Caenorhabditis elegans: one gene and its partners. The protein of the gene in region 1 interacts with the protein of each later gene in a pairwise test. Each region holds a gene or a part of one and is shown in the gene's direction. Other genes may lie near its edges.

Region 1 (4,928 bases):
TTTTTCTTATGGTGTGCAATATTTTGGTGACAAACGGGTTACTGTAACTCAGTTGTTGTAACTTTATGTTTTATAACACACTGTGATCTTGGCATGATCACCGAGCCATTTTGTACATTACTGTAGAACTTATTCGATTGTATAGTTCGGCAATTCTGTAATTCTGAGATTATCGAGTTCACAATTAGGAAAAGTGATTTTCGTGGGAGAATTGAAAGTTCACCCATCTCTCTTTTTGAAATTATTACTTTAAAAAATTAATAATGTTTGATAGTCAATAAATTATTATATAAATATCGATAATACGATAATTGCCGAATTTCTTCTTTTTTTTCAAAACGCCCTCTAACCTTCACATAAATTTTCTACAGTAATCTTTTGCACATGAATTTTCAAGAAGTGAAAATTTATATGAATTGTGGATTGCCAAATTAAAATTTGATACGATTACATTTTTATAAACTTTCACAATTGGTTTGTTTTAAAAAAATAAGTTTTTCTTGATTCTCTAACTCCTCTATTAGATCAATGATCTCTTAAAAGTGACCGCCCGTTTTCCACCCCAATTCCTCATTCCCACTCTTCTCCCGCACACGCATACATACCGCCCATCTCTATCTATCACATTCTCTCATTTTGACACACTGTTTCGTATGTTGTTTGTTCCAAAAAGTGTGTGACGGGTGGAAAACTGATGTGGAAATAGTGTCTTTTGCCCCTCTATCTTTTTGAAATGATAATAACTTTTTTCGAGAGTTTTTTGTTTTACTTTTTATTTTTTGAATTTTGATCGATTTGTATAAGTTGTATCTAATCTTGATCTAGATTTAACAACATTCATATTTCCCGCCAAATGAATTTTTAGGCCTAAAATTGTTTCCTTGGCAGCAGAATGTGTAGGCCAAAAAGTTATATAGAAAGATAGAGTTGACTCTAAAAAATTTTTAAAAATTAAAATTGTTGGAAATTATTATAATTCGTTAAACTTCAAACGGCTTCTAAAATTGTCACAATTGTGTGTGGGAAATTTAATGTGTTAGGGAAAACATTTTCCGCGCAAATTTGTCAAGATTAATTTTAGCATTTATTTGAATGATTTGCAGAATTTAAAGTTCGAGCTTCTCCGCTTTGCACTACTGGGCAATTCACTGAGCATAAAACCGCGCTTGCACGGTTGCTCTCCCCTTCCCGCCTCCACGCCTTTAAGAAGGTAGAAAAAAAATATAATCAAAAAAAAATATACAGCAACGGTTCAATATAATTGTAACACCGAACAGCGAGGCGGGCGATAGGAAGGCGAGGAAAAAGGCGCCATGTCGCCTCACCCTGATGGATTGCCAAATGGTAGTCAATGATGTTTGCATAATTTTCTTGATTCGTGGTATTTACCGAACTTGTACATCATACTTCACGCGAATTTTTGAAAATTGGTATCAAGATGGACCCTTCGTAGTTTGTCCCACATTCGTGTAAAACTTTTCTAGAACAAGACAATTTAAATTTCGTCCAAAAACCGAAACTCTGAAACAAATCTACCCAAAAATACGAAGTAAAACCAGTAGGAAATCATCAAAGTTCTGCACTGTTTGCACACAGTTTTCAATTTTTCCTCAATTTCCCTCTGCGTCTCTGACCATCTCTTAACTCTTCTTCTTTTCCCACTGTCACTTGACTTTTGTGATGTGACACACATATTTCCTATACGCTTCCCTCTTTCACCCACAAAAAGTTTGAATTCTGTAAATGATTTTTAGATCTCTTCCGGAACACTTTCAAACCGTCGATTTCAAATAACTGTTTCATACTAAAAGTTGAGGGAAATCTTGATTTAATTTCAGAAGCCTGCTCTACACCTGCTCTTCAGAGGAGATTCCACAGAAAGCCTCATCCAGAAGACAATGATTCCGTATCTAGAAATTTGCAGGTCAGTTGTTTTATTCAAAAATTAAACAATTTTAAACAAAAGGTTCTGACTATTTTCTAGTCTGCGTTTTATTCTAAAGTGTAATGTTTCCTACTTTTCCTAAGTCTCTCATTGTTGAACCTTCTTAATGATTTACTAGCTTCAAAAGAACGAAGCTCAAGGAACTGTTATACACAGTTTCAGAATTAAAAATAATCTAAAAATCGACACGAATTAAATGAGATCCTTCACAAGGAGAATAAACTGTGGGACGTCCGTCACATGTTCTGTTAAAAGTGAATTTTACTGAATTGGATAGATATCGAATCTATAAAAATCAATGTGTTAAACTTTTGCAAGTTTCAGTTTAAAATCAAAAATAAAAAGCTTCTCAAATAACGCTCTGTGGCAATAATAATTTTGAATATTCAAACAATTTCAAGGATAATAGGAACTTATTAAATATAGTTTCCCAGTCTCCTAGTCAAAATACGATTCACCCAATTTCCCTGACCACTTTCATAAAATTAGCCGAAATTGTTGTAGTGTAGGCAGTGATTTTTTCTGCTGCCTCAAAACGTTCAAGGAGTACTGTAGGTTTTTCATTTTCCGTACCGCCTGCTCTGTCAAAAATCCACATTAAGTGTTGATAAAATCGTTTTTATCAACGCGTTTTTTGCTGATTCCAACAAAATATTATGATAGCAAGAATGCTTACTTTTTTTTTCATTTTTCAGTTTAGTTCCTTTTCTTCGGCGAAAATGTAAATTTTGGTAGCTTCTCAAACAATGTTTCTGATAATTTGTACGTAGGGTTCCTACTCGGCAAAACGGCCTAACTTCATAGCATACTCTTGCAACTTCTTAAGAACAATTAGGCATTTTAGCTTTTAAGCAAACTTCTGCAGCTTTTCAGATGACTTTTGCAATTTCTTAGCAGATGTAAAGCTAAATTTCGCTCACAATCCCGTTGGTTTTCGCAACTTCTTGACAGCTTTTTACAAAGTTATATGAATGTTTTTATTAAGTTGCAGGAGTTTGCTATGAAGTTGCGACGTTTTGCCGAGTATAGAGATCATTAGAAGAAATGTGTATTGTATCCATTAATATATATATTTTTAGTTAATCCTCTCTAGTTTCACGAGAAAATCTGCTCAAAAAAAGGTCAAAAAACGGCGGTGATGCAGCCACATGACTTCTCTTCAGTTTTCTCTAGTTTCTCTTTTCGCATGGCTCAACAGAAGCCCATTGGGTCATTTTTTGCGCCTCTCTTTCTCTCCTCCAATCGCCACGCGTCTTTTGTGTCGTTTTCATGTGACTCTGGACGGAGGAGAGCACCGATCCATTTTTTTGATTGGAATAGGGGTGAAGATCTTGTGGTTGGGAGAATCTAGTTTGGTCGCAATGTTTTTTTTTTCAAAAAACTTTTGTGAAGCGTTCTAGAAAGCTTACTTCTGATGTGATGTTTCTATATTTAAAATCATAAAACATAGGTAGCCTGTAATATTTTCATAAATTTATTTTTGATGCAAAATGTCTTTTAACAATTTGAACTTTAAAAAACCCGTTTAAGCGATATATGAAAGCTCTCGCGCCTCCGTGGAACGCCTTGTTTCTAATTACAATTTAAAGCCTCTTTTAAAATAATTGAAAATCACAGCTTCTCCATTTTCCTCCTCAGTTCAATCCAGTTCGCTTCACCACTCCAAAAGTCCAAACTAAATTTGAAAATAGCTTTTGAAACCCAGAGACTCTAGAGAATCCGTCATTTTTTGTCCCATTTTTTTCGCACTTTCTGCCTAGAAGGTGGGTTTCGACCATTCATCATATTGCATAAAACAACTCTCTCTCTCTCTCTTGTTTGTTTGCCATTCCGATGCAAACCGCCCGTTCCTCTCGATGTGACGAACTGAATGAGAGAACGGCATAGTTAGTGTATGTGGCAAACGAAAACGACAATTCTTTTCCCCTTTCTCCAGCATTTTTTTCGCCCAATTCTCCCTCTTCCCTTTTGCCCCGATTGGTCTGATTTTTGATCGGCTCTCTGTTCGTGGTTCTGCGAGTGCATCTAGATGTAAGTTAGATGTAGATGAAAGTGTTTGGTTTTGCACTGTGTAATTTTTATAAATTTTGATTCACGGATGTAATCATCCCTGGTTATACATCATCAATTTACATGATTTTTTTAAAATTTGCACAATTTAGTTTCATCTGTAGAGTATTTTCCACACTGTAACCTATATTTTGCAGTTCTCAATTTTTGGTATATCTGAGAAGATACAAATGCCTAAAGTAAAAAACCTTCCATTTCAAAAATAGCAATATAAACTTTTACTGAATGCGCTAGAGGCTTTTCGGGGGTGCCTCTCACCCTTGTTTTCACGTTTCGCCTTGAAATAGTCAAATTTATCAAAAATTTGAATTTTTAAATTTCAAAGCGGAAAAGTTGTGTTACAATTAGAGAATGTAAAATACGATACTTTTTTTTTGCATAACTATAGCTTTTCAAAATCAAGACACTAAGGCATTTTTATAATCGTAAAACTATGAGTATTATTGTATTTCGAATATTTGCATATGCACAATATTGCGCAAAACTTTAAACAAGTTCCCCCAACATTTATTTTATGTTTTCTGAAACCAAGGCAACGAACTGAAAATCAGAGAACCGGTCTATCTGTTCGTTTTTTAAAATTCGAGTTTCTTCTCCTTAAAACCAATCAATTTTCTCATCTTCTTTTCGTAACGATGGCAGGCAACACAGCGGACAAAAAAACGAACGGAAATGTTGAGAATCGGCACGTTTTCGTTTTCGCCTCTCTAGAGAAATAGCGCTGGATTAGACTAGAGAAATCGGACATGAACCGAAAAAATTCATGGGATGGGCGCCAGAAATATATATATCGATGAATTCTGTCCCCTTTTCCTTTTCGATATGAAAGTTAACGATGGCAGCTGTACCAAAAAAAAGAGGGGAAAAACTGACTTTTCGACGATAAAAAGAGGAAGTTTGGAGGATGGAAAGG
Region 2 (7,633 bases), on another chromosome or scaffold:
TCATTCCTAGATTGCAAACTTTTGGGTGACGTAGGTTCTTTGGAGACAAAGTGTCCAAAGTGACAAAGGATCCAGTAGACAAAATGGGGTGTATCTTGGGGCCAAGGATCAATGGTACCAACCTTTTTTCAACTAGTTTCTTATATGTATTTTTCAGCTAATTTTTGTTTATATTTCACTGGAAAAAGTTTTTTTAATGCACTTTCCATAGGATTTTCGGTCATAATTCGCTCAGATAAACTTGTAAATGTCCTTTCCGATCGATTTATTCACTCGATTAGTCGTTGAATGTATATGGTGAGTGAGATTATGCGATGCTCAAAATGAATTTTCAATTTTCCCGCCGATACAGAAACTAATTTTGATTAAGGAACATTGTGGTGAGTGCGCGTCTGGTCCCGACGCGAAATTAATTTTAATGCTTTGAAACTTTTTTCTAATATTTTCGTTAAAAATTAAGGTTTATAGCCTTCAAAAATTATATATGGTCTTCAATAATTTTTTATTAAAGCTTTCAAATATTTAAATCTGAAATCTTAACCAAATTTTAAAACTACATACGATTTAATTTGAAATCATACACGTGAAATGAGTGTGACCGTAGTAGAAGCGCCGCTTTGTTTGAGTTGTATTTGAAAAATGTATTTTCTCCTTTTCAACTTTTAAAACTGCGATTTACTTCACCATATTCGTTATTTCTTTTCGTTTTCAAAGTAATTATTGTTTAGCTATTCAAAAAATTACTAAAAAGCGATAAAATTCGAAACAGAAGGTGTTAATTAACATGTTAATTGATCCTTTTGTGGCCTAAAAATAAACTATTTACCGATACACTTTCATAATAGTTCTTTCGGAAAATTAAAGTACTTTTTTGTCGATCGGTTTGAGAAAATGTGCCGGTGAATTTGATTTTATATATATATTTTTCAATTTTAAAAGCCAGTTTATCGTATACAAACAAATTTCTGTTATGTTTTAATGAAGCGACTGTTCATTAGTTTAAAAAACATGCCGATTTAGATGATTTTTTAGTTTCAAAACGTTTTCTTCAATTCTAATACTTGTTTTCGATAGAAATTCAACTTTTCCTGAACGCAATGCAATCGCGCTCTATCGACGTTTCAATGAATAACCGTCAATCATCTGCTTGCCGATCGAATATTTAGAACGCGTTTTATTGCTCCTTAACATTTTTTATCATTATTTCAATTGAAAAAACCATTTAAACAGTTTTCCAATCAGTTTGTTTCAAAATTGCCTTCCAGATCGAATTTCATTTAAATCTCAAGCACTGGAAATTGAAGAACAAGCTTCCGAATTCAAAAACAAAACAAAATATTAACTGTTAAAAATCTTTATAATCTATGATTATTGTTTATTGCAGACTTATCGGCTCAAAATGAAATGAATTAACGCAACAGTGCACGACTTGAAGTTTTAGCTATTATATATATTATTGAGAGACCTTATTACAAATTTCGCTTGTTTGTCCCAGAATCGTAATACTTCCTGGAATAGAAAGTTTTCTTTAATGCCTCTAGCAAATTATCGTTTACTTCTCATTTATTGCCGTTCAAACGTTTCAACCCACTCAAATACTCGATATTTGCAGAAAATGTCCGAAAGTGATGATGATTATCCGGAATTAGACATCTCCGATCAATATATCGATCCATTGGGGATCGTTGTTGGTCCACCACCCGCCTCGTATACGGAAACTGATCGTGAAGAAACTCCCATGCAAAATCGAACTGAAGATGACACTAATAGCTATGGAAATTCATCGGGTGAACATGACTACGATAGTTATTTGGATTCAGGAGACGATGACTTTGACGTGGATGCCTACTATGCGGTAAGATTCGTGTTCGTATATTTCAATTTTATTTTCTGATTCAGAATGACAATATGGATGAACCTCCACCAGAAACGATACCGGACAATCTTATACAAAACGTCATCGGAAGAAATGATAACGCCGATTATGATTTCAGCGATGCAAGTAATCCAGAAATCATGAAGGTATTTAAATACTTATATGATCTCGTGACCTAATGGTTTAGCGTGATCTTCAGCTGTTCCTGAGCTCTTCATTGCTGAGCAATCCATTGAAATTCCGTTCTGGATACTCCTCGGATGAATTGGATGATTGTTTGAAATCTTGTATGGGATACAGTCTTCAAGTAACAGCTGTTTTATTGCTTCCTCCAGAAATTATTTCTCAGCTTCCAAACGATTCCAAGGTAAATTACAATGTGCATAGGGAGACTATAACTTAATTGTTTTCAGACCGAACACGCCCATGCACTTGTACGAGGAGGTTGGCTGCAGTCCAAAGAGGGCGCATTCTTTCCAGTCATTTCCGATTCAGAACGTGAGACTGTTGTTTCGTTGATGAATGGATCCGAAGAACAGTGCGTTTTTTTTGTCACGAAAAGCTCTGAACGACTCGAAATAAGGCACCGGCGATCAGAGAGACGCTATTACAGGCTTTTTTTGTGGAAATTTTTATGTGAATTATTGTTAAAAACAGCAATTAATTTGTTTTTTGCACTGAAACCCCGTCATAATTGCTCTCGTAAATCGATATAATTCCCTATGTTCATGGAATAATCGAATTTGAATTATTTTATTCTTGTTTTGAACATATTTTTTCAAAATCAATAGCGAAATTGCTCAAATTCCATTTTTTTTAATCGAATGACTATTGTGCCGATTCACGAGAGAAATTAAGAAAATATTTCAGTACAAAAAAAAAAAATATATAAGTTAAATATTTCTGAGCTCTCCTTGCCAAATCACCACAAAAAAAACACAGTCTCTTCGATCGGTGGTGTTTCCTCGAAATGGCGTATAAAATTTGCAGGCACAAACGCCAGGAAAGGAAGAAAAAGGAAGCAGATACATTTGAATCCGAAGAGAAGGAAATTCGTACTCTACTCACATTCAACATGATTGCGGAATTGTTAATGGCTGTCAGAAATGAATATAGCATTCGTTCAGTTAAATATCAAATTCTTTCAACTGCTTATACAAATATGGTTACTGGTGCGGCACATGCGAATATTTTTCGAAAATATAAGGATATTCTTCAACTCGATCCAGAAAAACTGTGGAATAATGATTGGTTCAAAGAGTATACAAATCGAGGAACACTGAAGAAGTTTCTAACAACTGCAAGATTTTCTGAAATTGTGGTTTCACAAGCCAACGGCAAAACTGTAGAACTCTATTTTAGAGCTGACGATGAAGGAAACCGTGAGTAACTAAAAATATTTTCGATTTATTTTCAACGTTTGTTCATTCAGGACCAGTTGTTCTTTTCACTGATGAACATATTGCGGATGTTAGGAACAAATGGAAAACCGGCAATCAGAGAAATCAGAACTACGGAAGCCAAGGCAATTATAGGGCCGGTGGACAGAGATCAGGTACATTGCATTTTTTGTGATTATCTAAAAATCTTTCTTTTCTAGATGATCGTCGTGGTCCACAACAACGCAGAAATGTAATTGTACCAGATCCGAATTATCAACCATCGACTTTTGCTGGGGGCATTTCTAACAATGCAGATGATGATGGATCGTTGGTGAGTGCGATAAAAAAAACATTCATTATTCACAAAATTCTTTGTGTGCAATATAGAAATGAAATTTATGTGATTTTCAGCAACCAACAACTTCATCGCACTTTAATCGAAATACTGATCGGTCAACATCTCGTCCTCCACGTGCACCCACTTCTCCAGTCAATCGTGTGATGGAAACAGATCCACTAATGGGCCAAGGCACTTCGTCCGGAGCCCCTCAACGATCCGCGATTCCGAATCCATTTGGTGGAGCACCAGCTCTTAGCAGAAGCACAATCACCAATGGTAACCGTGGTCCTTCATATGGAGATCGTGGTGAGCGTGTTCAAGATGTCGGTGATACGACATCAGATAGTGAAATCACTTCTGAAGGATCCTACTCTGATGAAGATCCCGAGCAAAAGGAGATTAAGCGTCAAAGAAGAAAGGATAAACTTAAAAAGAAACAGGAAAGAGAACTAAGAAGTCGTGAGAAGCACACGAAGTCTAAGCAGCAACCTCCTTCGAAAAGTACGAATTTTATCATTTCCAAAGCGGAGTTTAGTGAATGGGGATGATGCTTCGTTTTTTTTCATTTTTCTATTGTGGTATTTCTGAACTTGAGACTATTTTAAATTTTTGAACTTTCAAACACCAACGATATTCCGCCTTACAAAAATTTTCCAAAATCACCAATTTGAACTATTAAATTTATGAAAATCTATTTCAGTTGAGACTCGATTCAATACGTACAAGAAAAAATCAGAATCATCTGCTACTGACACTTCCAATACACCTCCAGTTGACACTGTGAATGTAGCTCTCCCGACTCCAGTAGTAGAATCGTCTTCTACGACCGCAGCACCGTCAATCCCTGTTTCGACACGTCCTGAAGTCGTCGTTCCACCTGAGAATCCAGCTCCACTCAGAGAAGTCGGAAATTTCTACTCTAAATCGAATCACGACGAGGATAGACGCAATGTTCAACTTCCTTTCACACCAGCGGATACGCACAAACCGATTAAAGTTGCGCCAAAAGGTATTTTAAGCAGTTTAGGACTCGTCTTAATAGCCTAAAATCAGTTTCAGAGCCTGTACGGAATCCGCTTTTGAAAGAACGACCTTCAGCCAATGGTTTCATCAACAGAAGGTTCCTAGCTTTAAAATTTAATCTTTCAATTACCAAAAAAATTATTGCAGACTGCCATCACATCCAGCACCACCACCAGTCAACCAAAGTCAACCAGCCAATCAACCAATGCAAACAGCTGTGGTAATTTCATTTTTAATAATATTTTAAGTCTAAACATTCTATCCACACTTACGTTAGAAAAAATTGTTAGAAAAATCTAATGCCTCCGTGCATTTCTGTACCACTGAAATTTCATAGTGATCCAATTTTAATGACCGTAGTCTTGAGAACTTTGACTGTGTATCTACAACAAATATTTGAAAATTTGCGAAAAATTGTTCACATGATTACATTTTCGATCTATTTTTGCTGTTTTCGAAATAGTTTTGCTTCACAGTTCGGATAAAGTTGAGAGAAATGTGAAATTATAATTTATTGAGTTCTCTGGAAGACAGAAAAAATTAACAGAAAAACTGAAAGAAAACAGTATTGTTCACGTGAACAAGAATTGGGACATTCTTTTAAAAGACTGAAGATCTTTTCCATTAATTTATTGTCCAACACAGTCAGAAACTTTTCGAAGTGATGCGTTGGGTATTTGAACCATATTTCTTTAACCATGTTCGTTTTTTTCTCAAATCCTACAAGTTTGAAGTCATAATCATTATCTTTTCAGTATCAAAACTCTCATCCGGGTGCACCATATATCCCTCAACAGCCAACATATCAGCCACAGCTTCCTGTACAACAACCTCAACCACATCAATATGCGCCTCAACCAATACATCATCAACAGTAAGGATTATACTTAAAAATTCATTCCAAAAGTTAAATAAAGAACGCTCAAATGGACCCAAATCGAATTTTTTGATAAGATTTCGCAAAAATTTCCGAAATAAAAAAACTCTTTTTCGGTTAATAAATTCATAAATTTGACAATATTTTCAAGAAATTTGATATTATTTGACCATCTTTAAAAGTAATGTAAAACAATTCGCGTAATAATTGTAGTCTTGGGGTTTTCATGCAAGCAAAAGACATATCCTTTTTTGCTAAAATTGAGAAAAAAAAACAGAAAAATTCACAAAACTAACATTTTTCAGGCCAATCCACCAACCGATGCACGGCCAACAGTATCCGCCAGTTAATCAGCAGCAACCAATCTATCAACAACCGGCACCACAGTATCCACCATACAATTCAATTCAGAACAACCCTCAACATGGTCCTTCTCCATTTAATTATTCTCAAGTGCCACAACCTGCTTATAATCACGTTGGCCAACAACCATCACATATGAGCAATCAACCTCATATCAATCAAAATGGATATCAAAATTCGTACAATCCGAATCAGGGTCCGACTTCTTCCGATCCAAATTATGGATGTAATCCACAATTCAATCATTATGGCAGTAGATCAGTTTATCATGAAGATCATTCATCACAAAGAAGAAGATCACCTGATCAGTTTCCACCAAATCCTCCAGAATACGATCCACACGGAAACTTCAAACTTGCTGATTATGAAAGAGATCGAATGACAGTCGGATACAGTCAAAATCCACATCAATTTGACCATCACGGAAGTCATATGCCTCATCAGTCACAACCACAAGGATATGACAATTTTAACGGAAATTCTGCGCCGTACTTTAATAAAAACGGAGGACAATCAAACCATCAACCGGAAGCTCAAAGATCTTTTAGTGTTCTCTCTTCGAATCGTCAGCCATCGAACAGGGAATTAATATTTCAAGATGGAATTGAGAAGGAATTGAGAGATATAATTCTCCGTTATCGAAGCATGAACTTGACAGTATTGACAGTAAGTAGTAATTTTCGTTGAAAGTTTCAATTTGTTCTACGATGTGATATTAGTAATTATATAAAAAGTATTACGAGAAAATTTGATTGACACATACGAAAAAAATCTTTAAAAATAAAGAGTATTTTCAAATCATCTCTACACTATATTTTCGTATAATTAAAACAAGCTTTTTACTTCGAAAAATGCCATGTTTTTTCTTTCAAAAAGACTTCTTGATTAGAGTAACTGTACCAATTTTATGTTAAGTTTTTTTAATGAAAAGGTTTTCGTTAAAAGTGAATTATTTTCAGGTACAAGAACTGAGAACAGAAGTGAGCAGACGTCCTGCTATTCCTCGGTACATTGATATTGTCCAATATATTAGAGATTCTTCATCGGTTGCTATAGTGGAAAGAGGTGACATTGAGCCGTATGTCGTTTTGAAAGATGATATCCGAAACTAAGAATTTACTTGTTCCTATTACTGTTCCATTTTTATTTGTATTCACCCACTCGTCTCAATTTTTTCATTTTTTCTAAACCCATGTTTTTTTTTTTTAATTTTCGTTCTTATTGACTGCCTACTGATTATTACCTGTTTTTTCATACTTGAATCGCCAAACTTTCCTAATTAATATTTTTACGAGTCCAAATTTGTGTTTTAATATTTATAAAAAGTAGAAGAACCGGGAGTCAACTGATAATAATAATACTGCACGAATATTGGTGGTGACGGTGACAATTCAAAACAGGGATACGTGTCTCTGGGAAAGGGATGAAGGGAAAACTCGGGTTGAAAATTGGAACGAAGGCACTGGATGGAGGATGAGGGATGCACGTTTTCAGTATTTGGGGGTGATTGCTTCAGAATTGGCAACTTTTTGAATCTAATTACTGTTTTCCTTTTCTTTGGAATTTCAGAAATATTAGATTCAAAAAGAGAAAATAGCTCGTATTTACAGCATAATTATACTAAAACGAATGACAAAGTGCAACTACGTAGGGGAAAAATACAAGAAAACACAAAATGACAAATTTTGCAAATTTTGGTGAAACTATTTTGGAGAAAAATGTTGTCCAAAAAAGGATACACACTACGACGGTTTTGAAACTAAAATTTTTCT
Region 3 (7,423 bases), on another chromosome or scaffold:
ACAAATATTTAAAAAAAGTAAAAAAACTGGTTTTTTTAAAAGGATTTTTAATATTTTAATTTTTTTTTAATTATTTATGTTAAAACATTCTTGGAACATGCCACATTGCCCTGGATTTCTTTAAAGCCCATATTTTTCGAAAATTTGCCAATTTTCCAAAACTTTGACTGGAAATTTTAAAAACTTTAAAAAACATTTTGGAATGTTTTATTATGACGTTCTATTGTTATTTTTCAGAAACGGTTCGTTGCTACTGCAAAATCCATAATTATGAATTTGTTCTCGCAGTTGATACTGATTTCAAATGTGCTCATAAAGATGTAAGTTCTAATTTTTTTTAATTTAAAAAAAGCTAACATTTCAGAAATTTTTCCGCCGCCACTGTGTTTCCGCAAAGATTCTCCCATTATTTGATGCGATCCTATTCTTAGACGCTGATATTGGTGTTGTGAATCCAAAGCGAAAAATTGAAGAGTTTTTGGATGATGGAATTGATGTTACATTCTATGATAGATTCTATAATTGGGAGATCATGGCTGGATCTTATATTGCAAGAAATACTCAATATGCTATTGATTTATTAAACGGTTAGTTTTTTATTCGAAATTTTTGTGATGAATTTAATAAAATTGCAGAGTTTGCTGATTATGAGTACAAGTTACCAAATAGTTTTCATGGAACGGATAATGGAGCACTTCATGTAACTTGGTAACTTCCTATTTCAATTTTTATTTTATTGTTTAGATTTTCCTTGCCGAAAAGTTGTTCCCACAGGCTTCTGCAAATACGAAAGTATGCAAAAAAGCTTATAACAATTCTAAAAATTTTGATGATCTCTTCACCTACGAGTCATGTATCCGAGCAATATTTGGCGTATCCACTGATTTTGGAAAAGTTAGAATTATGAAAAAAGTAGGTTTAAAATTAATACCACAACATCTACAATATTAACTGTACAGGGAACAGGATGGGCTAAAGACGGCTGGCTGACATCAATGATGTGGCATCCAGAGTTAGATTTCATGTTCCATGGTTGGAAAACGAATCAATTGAGAGAAACGCCGAATGTGAAGCTTGAGTTGGCAAATTACCTGAATTTTTTAAAAATTATTCAAGTATTACAGGCCTAGCCAAATGGGACGAGATTTTTGGTATAATCCTTTGAGTGGGCCTATAGATCTTCAAAAATGTAGTCCTCAAAATTCGACATGGTCATACGATTCACGACTTCGTGGAGATAAAAACGAAATTCTGAAAAGCCTGAGAATGTTCGAAGAAAATGTTGCATTTCAGCAAGTTTTGTCTTATATCCGGATGATGGGTTTATTGTTTCAGTAACCAGCAATTTTAAACTTTAAATTCAGATTTTGTGTATGTATATTTACTTGAATTGTAAGACAAGATATATTTTTGGAATAAAAATTTGTGAAAACTACATAAAACGCAAACGATGGTTTTTAATTTTTTTGTTCCAATCAACCCCATTTTTACAAGGCCACAAACTGCAAAATAAATAAAATATACCGATTTTCACTTGTAGACCTATTATATTTTGACCTTATGGTCGGTAAGAGCAACCGTGCTCCACCGCACATGGCGGGAAGGTTTCAATTTTGAATCACCACGCGCGGGAATCCGGCACTTTTCATTTCGTTCATTCATTCATTATTCATGAACGTTCATTTTCAGTTATCTGACATTTGGAAAATACTGTTTTGTTACTTTATTTGTTGCCACATAACGTCAAAAAGTTTCACACGCAGTATTTAATAGATATATTTCTAAAAACTTATTTTCCCCTTAATTTCCTGTTTAGTACTTTTTTCCTCCTTTTTTCAAATCACGCGCCCTTTTTGATTTTTAATATCCCTTGTGTAATTTCCATAATCATTATTGCTAATTTATAGATAAATCGACGTTTCTTTCACAATGGACGAATCGCCGATATTCGACAACGAGAACAAGCGCTCAGCTGGAAATGTAAGTTGAATTTTCTCAAAATTTTAATTAAATCAATGACAATATAAATTATTTCAGAAGCGCCAGCAAACCGAGTCGCCATTTTCCGCCGCTACGCCTAAATCACGACTAGGAAGAGAACCGAAACGCATTTTTGGAACTTCGTCGGGCAATATGGCCGATAGCAACCTGGAGGAGACCTGCCTCGAGCATGATTCCCGCCCGTCTTCTGCTTCTTCTATCACCCCTGCCGACAACACAAGTCTACTGGATTTGTCTACAGTAACAGCTTTGGCTACTGATGATGCATCCTTCGTGGGAACCAACGATGCTTCCATCACTCCGGGCAGCAATGTTGATGTGAATTTAGAACAATCTGAGCTCTACGACACCTCAAATTGCACGAGCAACCTGAGCATGGTTCAAGAAAGCGACGAGACGGACGCCGATGCCACACTGTCCAATGATTTCGATAATCAATTGGCACTTGACGGAGAGACTACGCCTACTGCTTCTCGTACTCCAATGAGCCAGATTCTGAGCCGAGAATGTACTCCAACAGTATCTAATCCACAGCTTCTCACGGAAATCGCCAAAGGAGTAGATCAGCCTACAAAGCCAGTCCGAGATGTCCCCCAGTCCCCAGTGCTTCCTGTCAAAGGTCACATTGACTTCTCACTGTAAGAAATTGTCGTATTTATAGCTTAAAACAAAATAATTTCAGACACGAGTTTGAAATGTTGGAGCAGAATTCCGAGCATGAGGAGTCAATCAAACTTCTTCAGTCGCAGATCGAGCTTCTCCGTCAAAGTCACAGTCAACAGCTCAGTGAGATTCAAGAAGCTCGAATTTTTGAGGAAAAGATGCTGACTCAGCAAGTAGATTCTGCAATGAAAAAGGCAAAATCTGACCGCGAAGCCGCTAAGGCACGAGAACAAGTTCTCGAGAAACAAGTTCAGGAGTTACGCTTGAAGCTGGAAGAGCCTGACGAAGAGAAGAATCAGTTGGTACACAATCTTGCTGCTCTGAACGCTCAAATCGAGGAGTTGACCCAGAAGGCTTTGAAAGTAGATTCGATGCAACAAGGAGCGACTGCTTCGGAAGATCGGATTCGGGAGTTAATTGGAGGCCATCAAGAAGCAATCAAACAGCTTGAGAATACCAAACAAATGAACGAAAGTCTTCAGCGCGATCTAGTAGAGAAAGAAGCGAGATTCAGTGAAGAGGTTTTTATAGAATTTATTGCCGAAGTAAATTTAATTAATTATTTTTAAGATGGAAAGGATTCGCACCGAATCACAAACAACAAGTGAATCGCTGAAGTATGAGCACGAACTTGTTCGCAAGATGATGATTGAGGATATGGAGAAACTGGAGGCAGAAGTACTCGCCCTCAAATCCCAACAAGCAAACTTGGAGATCCAAGAATTTCACGACAAGATCAAACAACTTGAATTGGAGGTGCAACTGTCGTCTGAGAACAAAGAAAAACTTCAAGCAGAGTTAATGGTGGTACAAGAAAAAGCTTCCGAAAACATCAAGAATGCCGAGGAAAAAGTGAACGGCCTTGAAGCAGAGGTTGGCTTAATTGAATAATCACAAATCAATATATATATTTTTATTTTTCAGGTCGAAAAGCTGCGATTTGAAGCCACCAATAATTCTCGTGTTGTGGAGCTCGAGCAACAACTCGAAGAGTTCAGATCGCTCATGATTAAAGAGATTTCTGATTTGGAGAACCAGTTAGAAGCTGCAAAACTTGAGTCAGGATCCACGAGTGAGCCCAATGCACAGTTGGAGGCATCGCAAGCTACAATCCAGGAATTGACTTCTGAGATGAAGATGCAGTTGGAAGAAGTGAAGAGACAGTCTGATGAAAACAATTCGTTGAATGTACATCTGACATCTTCAAACGAAAAAATTGCGGAACTAACGTCTTCATTGGAGATGGTGGCTGCTCAACTCTTATCTTCACAACAAGAAACTGATGTTGCCGTCACTAAGGTGGAAAATCTGGAGTTGAAGATGGAAGAGGCTCATCGAATGTATTTATTGGATATTGAACTGTCAAGAGTAAAGATTGACGAACTTCAGTCTTCTATTGAGGTGCTTTCAAAGCTTGAACGTGAGGTTCAGTCATCCAATTTGCAAAACGAAGAGTTGAAACTTTCTCTGAGGAATTTTGAAGAACTTCAAGCCGATCTTGCCATGTCGAAAGCAAAGAATGAAGAACTCGAACAGCAAATTGAAGATTCTAGTCGGGAGTTTTCTGTCATCACTGAAGCAAGTAAGGAAATGAAGTTGAAATGGGATTCGTCTGAAGCTCAGATGTCTGAAATGATAGCTTCTTTGGCCGCCTTCCAAGAAGAAATGCAATCAACTCAAGCTGATGCTGTCGCTTCTGAAGATAAAGTCAAACAGGTGGAATCTTTGTTGGAGAATTTGAAGGAACCTTTGGAGGAATTAAACAATCTTCGTGCCAATTTGAAGGATTCCAACGATAAGATTTTGGATCTTCAATCTCAACTCGAATTGGCTCAGCAATCTTCGGATCTCGCTGATCGTCTTCAGGAGGACTTGAGAACTTCAGATGCCAGGGTCCAAGAATTGAATATTCAAGTGTCTGAACTCGAACAGCAAATTGAAGTTTCTAGTCGGGAGTTTTCTGTCATCACTGAAGCGAATAAGGAAATGCAGTTGAAGTTGGATTCGTCTGAAGCACAGATTTCTGAAATGACAGCTTCATTGACCGCCTTCCAAGAAGAAATGCAATCAACTCGGGCTGATGCTGTCGCTTCTGAAGATAAAGTCAAAGAGTTGGAATCTTTGTTGGAGAATTTGAAGGAACCTTTGGAGGAATTAAACAATCTTCGTGCCAATTTGAAGGATTCCAACGGTAAGGTTTTGGAGCTTCAATCTCAACTCGACTTGGCTCAGCAGTTTTCGGATCTCACTGATCGTCTTCAGGAAGACTTGAGAACTTCAGATGCCAGGGTTCAAGAGTTAAACGTGCAAGTCTCTGATCTTCAAAGCGAGCTTGAAACTGCTCGCCAGGACACCAATGCTGTTCAAGTCGTTATGGAAGCTCTTAAATCAGAACAAGGTGAATCGTATGAAGCTCTTCGTGCTGAACTTGACGCTGCTGTTCAAGAAAAAGGCAGATCTTCTGATCTCGTAACTTCGTTGGAAGGTAAAATTCAGGAGTTAGAAACTGCTATCGAGAGTAGTACAGCTGAAAACGTTCAAAAAAGCAAAACCATCCAAGACTTCACCGACAAAGTGTCACTACTTGAATCGCAAATCTGTGAGCTGAAAAGTCAAAATGAGCAGATGGAAATTGATACTAACTTGAATATGGATCAGTTATCCGAAATGTCTTCTCAGTTGGAATCTGCAAACGCCGAGCTCATTGAACTGACGAGGACTTCCGCTGAGACTATTGATAAGCTTCGTGGAGAAGTAGAAAAGTCTACAAAGGCAATGATGGATCAAGAAGAACATCTTGCGGAACTAGTGGCCAAGATTGAAAGCCGAGATGTTGAGGTTTGACGAAATTTCTCTTTTATATTTATAAAATTGTATTTTTTCAGAACGCGGATCAAGCTGCAAAGCACAAGGAAGAACAAGAACGCCTCCAATCCGTAATTGATACTCTTCGGACATCACAGAGTACAATCGAAGAATCTCAAGCCAAGTCAGAGGAGTTGAATTCACGCATTAAAGAGCTTCAAGCATCAATTGAGTTTGCACAAAAGGCCCTAGCTGACACCGAAAACGCAAAGCAGGAGAAAGTCGAAGAACTCGAAAAAGTTCAGGAGCAGATGCTAAACCTCGTGCAAGCTTTCGAAGTGGAGGTTAGTTTAACGGACATTTTTTTAATTCCAAATTTATTGATAAATTTTACAGAAAGCATCGATCCGATTGGAGTGGAACTCGTCTTTGAGCAATGCAAACGAAAAACTCGAGGCTGCAGAGGAAGCACTCTCTCAGAAAGAGAACACGATTGTTACTCTGGAGTCGCGGATCGAAACAATCTCACAGCAGTTTGAGGCTCGCCTGGAAGAAGCAAATGTCTGGAAGTCGCAGGCAATGCAACTCGGCACTCTCACTCAATCGCTTTCGCAAATGCAACGACAGCTTGGAGAAATGCATGAGAAGATGGAAGCATCTGACCGTCGTGTCATTGAAGTCGAAGAACAAGCTCAACACGACATCACTTTGATTCAAGTTGAAAATAAAGAACAGTCGGAAGCACTGGAACAAGCACATTCTCGTATTCTGGAACTTGAGGAAAAGTTGGTGAGGGCTGAAATCGAAATCCAGCGATTGGAGAAAGTTTGTGATGCATTTGATGATGACGAGCGGGAGTATAAGGACAAGATCATGACACTTCAGTCCGAGATCAAGCAGCTGAAGGGTGTAAAGACGCCGCCACGAGTAATGGGACTGATCGAGCAAGCAAGACTTGGGTGAGTTGAACATGTATTAAAATTGACAAGTTGAGCGTTTTATTTTCAGTGTGAAACAACTGAGCCGCGAAAGCTCACTTGTCGAACCGCAAAACTCTGCTCATGAGGATGCCTTCGAAGATGCGCAGAACTCCTTCCAAGATCGTCTTCAAACCATGTCGAATACTACTGCCCGGCAGATAGATGCTTCAAATCATCATCCGGAGGATCACGTTTTGGAGAAGTCGGCTCGCGAAACTCCATCGAAGAAGAATCGATCAAACTGCCAACACCAATAGGCTATAAGATTCTCTCACCCCACTAGATCTCTCACCGTCCCCCACTAACATATGTGCCATGAATACCCGTTCTGAACCCATATTTACTTGTCAAATATTATTTGCTTTTAGGGTCAGAATAAACGGGTTTTTAAATTTATCAACGATTTTTAGTCTCATTAAAATACAATCAAAGAAGATCCTGAATAAAGGTGACGTCATTTATAGTGAAAAAGTGATATATTACAGCTCAGAAATTTCACAGGATTATTATCATTGCAAATTTTCGCGAAGTTCGATGTTCTCTCCTTTCGCATGTTCAACAATCCATTTAATCAATAGATCCTTCGAACTGATAGCGTCTAATTTGATAGTCCACTCCAAGTTGTTATCTTTGTTCAGAATAATTCCAACATTTGGTTCAGCGTTTTCTGAATTAATTTGATCAGTTTGATCAGAGGTAATGCCAACTGGAGATGTCAGTTTCACACGTATCTTCTCATCTGTGCTACGTGGTACATGATGCTTGATTGTTAACAGTACAGGCGGTCCACTTCTTGTATTCTTTACACTAATCGTCTGCTCGGTGGCATGAGTTGAATGTTTTGTGATGTAACCGCCTTCTTCATGGAACTTTTTGGCTGGCTTATATTCGATACGAATGGCCGTGTCCACGCCTAGAGAACAGGTGAATCGTTCACCTGGTGACACATCTTTCATGTGACTCTGAAACATGAA
Region 4 (5,792 bases), 5.2 Mb from region 1:
TTTTAAATAACTGAATTCATGTTTTTTCAGTCCGCCAGCAGCCGAGCCGAGGATGGTGAGAGCAGCTCAACAAATGATGCAGCTGGCACAAGATTCGTAATCGGCGAGCTAGTCGCATGCACCTACAAGGGAAAAGTATATGACGCGGTCATCACCGACATCAAGCCCGACAAGGATGGAAAGGAGTGCTACTGCATTCACTTCAAAGGATGGAACAATCGTTACGATGAGCAAATTCCAATCGGCGAGGAGACAGACCGTATTTTTAAAGGGATAGCAGATGGTTACCGAGCTCCAGTTGTCACAATGCGCAAGGTACTGCTCAGAGAATATTGAAGCTTTAAATAATAAATTTTGCATTTTCAGTCCGCTAGAAACCATGAAAAATCCACAGAGCCTCAAGCGACGAAAGAGAACGCTCCGCGGCTAGTCGGAAAACGTAGAGAACAATTCATAATCGGTGAGCAAGTCACGTGCACACAGAACGGAAAGCCATATGACGCGTACATCGTTGACATCATAACCGACACTGATGGGAAGGATTTTTACTGCGTTCACTTCAAAGGATGGAACAGCCGTTACGATGAGAAAATTCCAGTCGGCGAGGAGCAGGGTCGATTGTTCAAGGGCTCGGCCGCGAAGTACGCAGAGATGCTCGAGATGAAGAAGTAGATGGGATCTGCTAATAAATTGTTAAATTGCTAAAATTTTGTGTTTGTTAATTGTTCTTTTCAAGCTATTTGTACAATGAATTCTTACCGAAATTGACAAGTTCATATTGTATAAAATGCTGGAAATATTAGCTTTTGACAGACAAGAAACAGGATAGATGGAGAGAGAAAGGGGCACCCATGAAAAGCGAAGAAAAGGGGAAATAAATTAGGCCAAGAAAACCAGATAAATTAAATAAATTATTGTTCGCTACGAATCAAGCGGTTGTACAAGTCGTCGACCTCCTTCTTCACAAGTGGCACGATGATCTCTCCATCGTTATCGATATAAGCTCCGATAGATTTCGTGATTTTTCCCTGTCCAGAGCGTCCTTCCTTCTTAAACTCGGCCGACAGCGTGTACTTATCGTCGTGAGCCTTGATCTCCGAGCTCCACGCCCATTTTCTCGATTGTTTTCCGTCGACTTCGGTGGCCTCGTAGATGCAGTCCTTCTCGACGTACCACTGATACATTTGAAGAATTCCCATGCATATGAAGTAGGAAACCGAGCACACGGCGAGCACGATTTTCGACTTTGGGAACGGCTCGTAGTAGTCGTAGCCGCAGGCGAACGCGGAGAACGCGACGCCGATGAATGAGATGAGAAGACGCAGATTCATTAGATTATGCGATTCCGTCCATCCGACTTTGTCGTTCAGAATCTGAAACGAAAGATTTTAATTTTAATTTTAATTTTGGAGTTTCGGAGAGCAAACCTTTTTGACGACTTCATCAAGGGCATTCTTCACTGTTGGACCGTCCCATTTGTTCACAACTTTCACCGGCTCGTCCGTCATCTGAAAATTAATATATTTGAGAATAAAAATTGAATAGAAATCCAAAAAAACCCAAAAGAAATGAGCAAAAAGCTAGTGGTGACGTCTCAAAATTGGAAGTCTGCATTATTGCGTCGTGGTGTTTGCGTACTTTTTCGTGCGCGGCGCTATTGCATTTGCTTAGAAAACCGCGCCGCAGGGGGGTTTGAATTGCGAAAATGCCGTTGAGCTTTGAGAAAAGCTTTTTTTTTGTTTTTATCGATAAATTTATCGAATTTTCGATATTTTTAATCTATTTTTTGATTAAAAATCGTTCAAATATACATCATTGGCTAGAATTGCTGCTAAAACTCGCTTAAAACACCAATTAATCGATTAATTTCTTTAATTCCTTCAGATGTCTTCAAAGAAGAACTTCGAAGTCGGCGAGAACGTCGCGTGCATCTACAAAGGCAAACCATACGATGCCAAAATTACTGATATCAAAACCAACAGCGATGGCAAGGAACTCTACTGCGTTCACTTCAAGGGCTGGAACAATCGATACGATGAGAAAATCCCAGTCGGCGAGGAGAAAGACCGCATTTTCAAGGGAACAGCCTCGGAGTATGCAGAGAAACACAACGCAGAGCTGCCAACAACTGCATTGAAGCCGAAGAAGAAAAGTCTTGCGGCTGAAGCACCACGAGACGATCGTGATGACACTCCGGGGACGTCGAAGGGAAAAAAGGCGAAATCGGTGACAATTGCGCCGGTTATGACCGCCGACGATATGAAGGTCGAGCTTCCGAAGCCACTGAGAAAGATCCTGATCGATGACTACGATCTTGTCTGCCGTTATTTCATAAACATCGTGCCACACGAGTATTCAGTTGATCAAATCATCGAGGACGTAAGCATAAAAAAAATTAAAATATCATTTTTTCCGATTTTCAAATCCAACATTTTCAGTACATCAAAACCATTCCGGTCAGTAATGAGCAAATGAGAACGGTCGATGATCTGCTCATCGAATACGAGGAAGCTGATATAAAAATCACGAATTTGGCTCTGATTTGCACCGCGCGTGGACTCGTCGACTATTTTAATGTCACTTTGGGGTTGGTTAATTCGAATATGTTAAACAGATGCATGCAAATTGCACGTAGCCCAATGTTTAGTACCACTGCAACTTTTTTCGAACGAGGGACGAGGAAAAGCGGTTTCTAGCCCATGGCCGAGGGGCCGACAAGTTTCAGCGGCCATTTATCTTGCTTTGTTTTCCGCGTGTTTTCTTTAATTTTTCATAGACTTTTCCCGTTTTTTTCTTATTAAAACTAAATAAAAGATAAATAAATATTTTTGCAGATGCCAAAACAATTTCCAAGTGAAAAAATTATGTATTCAGTCGGCAAGTAGCGGTGAAAGTGCTCAATGTTATATGATGGATTACGGGAATACTAAATCTAAACCTTTTCTGAAACATGGTATATATTCTGCTTAGAGACTGAAACTACCCGATTTTCATCATAACGAGACCGCTGAAAAAGATTTGAGATTTTCAAAATTCAACTTTTTGTGCAAAAATCTCAGAACTTTTTGAGCGGTCTCGTTATGAAAATCGAATAGTTTCAGTCTCTAAGCAGAATAAATGCCATGTTTCAGAAAAACGATTAGGTTTAGTATTACCGTAATCCATCATATAACATTGACCACTTTCACCGCTTCTTGCCGACTGAATACACAATTTTTTCACCTGGAAATTGTTTTGGCATCTACAAAAATATTTATTTATCTTTTATTTAGTTTTAATAAGAAAAAACGGAAAATTTTTTTGAAAAACAAAAGAAAACACGCGGAAAACAAAGCAAGATAAATTGCCGCTAAGTCTTGTCGGCCCCTCGGCCATGGCCTAGAAACCGCTTTTCCTCGTCCCTCGTTCGATAAAAGTAGCAGTGAGTACACATAATGCCCTCCGCTTCGTAGAATAGTCGCCCCAATCCCACTTGAAACAGTTACGATGTAAGGATGAATTGTTTAGTTCCAGCTACCAACTGCTCTATAAGTTCGAGCGGCCACAGTACAATGACCTTGTCAAAAAGCGAGCTATGGAGAAGGGAATCGACATCACAAACCCGACCGCCCTGCAGGATAGTGGATTCCGTCCATCTCAAGAGTACGGAATTGTGCATTTCTTGAGAATGCTCGCAAAGCTCCCGGACTACCTGAAGCTCACTCAATGGAATGATCATGTTATTAACGTATGTTCGAAGTTCAACTCCTGGAGCGTCTCCTGAATCTGGTTTCCACACGGAATCTGTTTTTTTTTGGCGAAAAGGTGTAAAATTTGGAAAAATTAGGCCGAAAATTGGATCGAAACCGTCAATTTTCTCGATTTCAGGATCATAAAAAATCCCATTTTGTAGGGAATAAGCAGATTCACAAAACATTGATTTTTAAAATTGAAAAATGGGGAAATTGCCTTGTTTAATTTTAAAAATCAATTTTTTTTTGTGAATCTGCGTTTTCTCCACAAAATTGAATATTTTACGATCCTGAAATCGAAAAACTGACGGTTTCGATCCAGTTTGAGGCCAAATTTCCAAAATTTACATTTTTTCAATGCGTATCATTTTTCTCAACATTAATATAAATAAAAAATAGCAAAAAAAAACGATTTTCCGTGAATTCAGGAGCCCGAAATTGCTTTAAAACACGCCTATGGGACCACAATGACAGAATATCATGATAAAAAATTCAAAAAAATTTTATAAATTTTATATGATTTTTTGAAAATTGGAAAAATCTCAGTTTTCACCTAATTATTTTTGAATTACCGTCAATTGGATTTGTTCGATGGAGCGAGCTTGCATTATTTTCATTAATTAATTTTATTTTTTCTCGTTATTTGACTGGTTTTCTTCATTTTCTATGTTTTTTCCTCGGAAAATGAAAGAAATAAATAGGACAAATGCGAAATGTTTGTTAAAAAGTAATTGAAAATGCGTAAAACTGTGATATTCTGAGTTCCGACAAGCCTGAGATTAGTATATTTCACAGTTTTACTCATTTTCAATTACTTTTTAACAAACATTTCGCATTTGTCCTTTTTAAAAGCATAGAAAATGAAGAAAACCAGCCAAATAACGAGAAAAAATAAAATTAATTAATGAAAATAATGCAAGCGCGCTCCATCGAACAAATCCAATTGACGGTAATTCAAAAATAATTAGGTGAAAACTGAGATTTTTTCAATTTTCGAAAAATCATATAAAATCTAGAAATTTTTTTTTGAATTTTTTTAATCATGATATTCGGTCATTGTGGTACCATAGGCGTGTTTTAAAGCAATTTCCCCACTGAGCGTAGTCCCATGCTCCAAAAATAAAATAAATCAATTTTCAGCGCATCATGATTGGAGTTCACGATTTGATTGTGTTCCTGAATAAGAATCACGGGAAGTACTACAGAGGATCGTCTGATTATCAAGGTGCCTCCAACGACTACTATCGCCGATCTCTCGCCGCCGACGACGGAGTTGGAGCGAATCAATAGACTGATCTCCTTCATCATGTGTTCCATCCCAGACGATCTTCAATACACCGATATAACTTCAATAATTTTATACATTGTTCATTATTTTCCAAAGCTAGCCCCACCATTATGTTTTTGTGAAATCGTGGAGATCCATATTTTGTTCACGTTAATCTCACGTTTTCTGACGACTTCCACATTTCGCATTCCATTATCGTTCAATTTTCCGTTTAGTTGTTTCCCAACTATTCTAATGAATATGATTCTCATTTTCTTTTCAATAGCCCCCCACATTCATATTTTTCCAGATTCTTCTTCTCTTCCAACTCCCCGCCATTTTTAGCCTATCGAGATTTGATATAATGTCTGCGTGCCCCCAAAACTATTCCATCTCGCATTCCACGTGCCAGACTGGAAAGAAGAGGAAGACTGAAGATTTTTTTGAATATTAGAATATACTTTTTTCTTCCGATTTTGAAGTTTCATGATTAAGATGGTTAAATATTGAGAATGCTTATTGAACAACATAACTGACCCGCAAAATATCTCGTAGCGAAAATTCTTGTCGATTTACGGGCTCGATTTTCGAATTGAATTTATTTTTAAATAGTGACAGCGATATTTAATTTTCTTCTATCACTATTCAAACAATTCAAAAATCCGGGTCCGTAAATCGACACTACAGTAGTCATATTACTGTAGTTTTTGCTACAAGATATTTTGCGCGTCGGATATGTTGTTCAATACGCATTCTCAAAAATTACAAGAAGTTGTCTTTTTTTGAAAAGAAAT

Evidence for each region.
Region 2: the proteins of ncl-1 (region 1) and mut-16 interact in a two-hybrid assay, tested with the Caenorhabditis elegans proteins (one study listed by BioGRID).
Region 3: the proteins of ncl-1 (region 1) and hcp-1 interact in a two-hybrid assay, tested with the Caenorhabditis elegans proteins (one study listed by BioGRID).
Region 4: the proteins of ncl-1 (region 1) and mrg-1 interact in a two-hybrid assay, tested with the Caenorhabditis elegans proteins (one study listed by BioGRID).

What each region holds. Positions count from the first base shown.
Region 1 is NC_003281.10:7,717,893-7,722,820, forward strand, and holds the start of ncl-1 (RING-type E3 ubiquitin transferase), read left to right. Parts: upstream 1-1,898; coding exon 1,899-1,924; intron 1,925-4,928. UniProt on the Caenorhabditis elegans protein: Translational repressor that inhibits protein synthesis.
Region 2 is NC_003279.8:10,078,547-10,086,179, forward strand, and holds mut-16 (MUTator), read left to right. Parts: upstream 1-1,612; 5' UTR 1,613-1,615; coding exon 1,616-1,855; intron 1,856-1,899; coding exon 1,900-2,022; intron 2,023-2,063; coding exon 2,064-2,243; intron 2,244-2,289; coding exon 2,290-2,414; intron 2,415-2,866; coding exon 2,867-3,258; intron 3,259-3,308; coding exon 3,309-3,431; intron 3,432-3,476; coding exon 3,477-3,589; intron 3,590-3,669; coding exon 3,670-4,099; intron 4,100-4,298; coding exon 4,299-4,607; intron 4,608-4,657; coding exon 4,658-4,718; intron 4,719-4,768; coding exon 4,769-4,841; intron 4,842-5,376; coding exon 5,377-5,495; intron 5,496-5,803; coding exon 5,804-6,527; intron 6,528-6,820; coding exon 6,821-6,973; 3' UTR 6,974-7,162; downstream 7,163-7,633.
Region 3 is NC_003283.11:6,592,297-6,599,719, forward strand, and holds hcp-1 (HoloCentric chromosome binding Protein), read left to right. Parts: upstream 1-1,897; 5' UTR 1,898-1,929; coding exon 1,930-1,980; intron 1,981-2,037; coding exon 2,038-2,639; intron 2,640-2,683; coding exon 2,684-3,185; intron 3,186-3,234; coding exon 3,235-3,537; intron 3,538-3,588; coding exon 3,589-5,502; intron 5,503-5,549; coding exon 5,550-5,813; intron 5,814-5,865; coding exon 5,866-6,428; intron 6,429-6,477; coding exon 6,478-6,706; 3' UTR 6,707-6,912; downstream 6,913-7,423. Other genes in the region: ZK1055.2 (Nucleotide-diphospho-sugar transferase domain-containing protein), read left to right, coding at 238-320, 365-587, 636-700, 745-912, 960-1,078, 1,125-1,338; ZK1055.6 (Protein F37C4.5), read right to left, coding at 6,959-7,411.
Region 4 is NC_003281.10:12,870,747-12,876,538, reverse strand, and holds mrg-1 (Mortality factor related protein 1), read left to right. Parts: upstream 1-1,884; coding exon 1,885-2,379; intron 2,380-2,438; coding exon 2,439-2,587; intron 2,588-3,507; coding exon 3,508-3,727; intron 3,728-4,871; coding exon 4,872-5,021; 3' UTR 5,022-5,265; downstream 5,266-5,792. Other genes in the region: cec-7 (Chromo domain-containing protein), read left to right, coding at 31-315, 367-672; spcs-2 (Signal peptidase complex subunit 2), read right to left, coding at 912-1,373, 1,428-1,508. UniProt on the Caenorhabditis elegans protein: Protein involved in the remodeling of chromatin thereby regulating various processes including transcription, chromosome synapsis and genome integrity.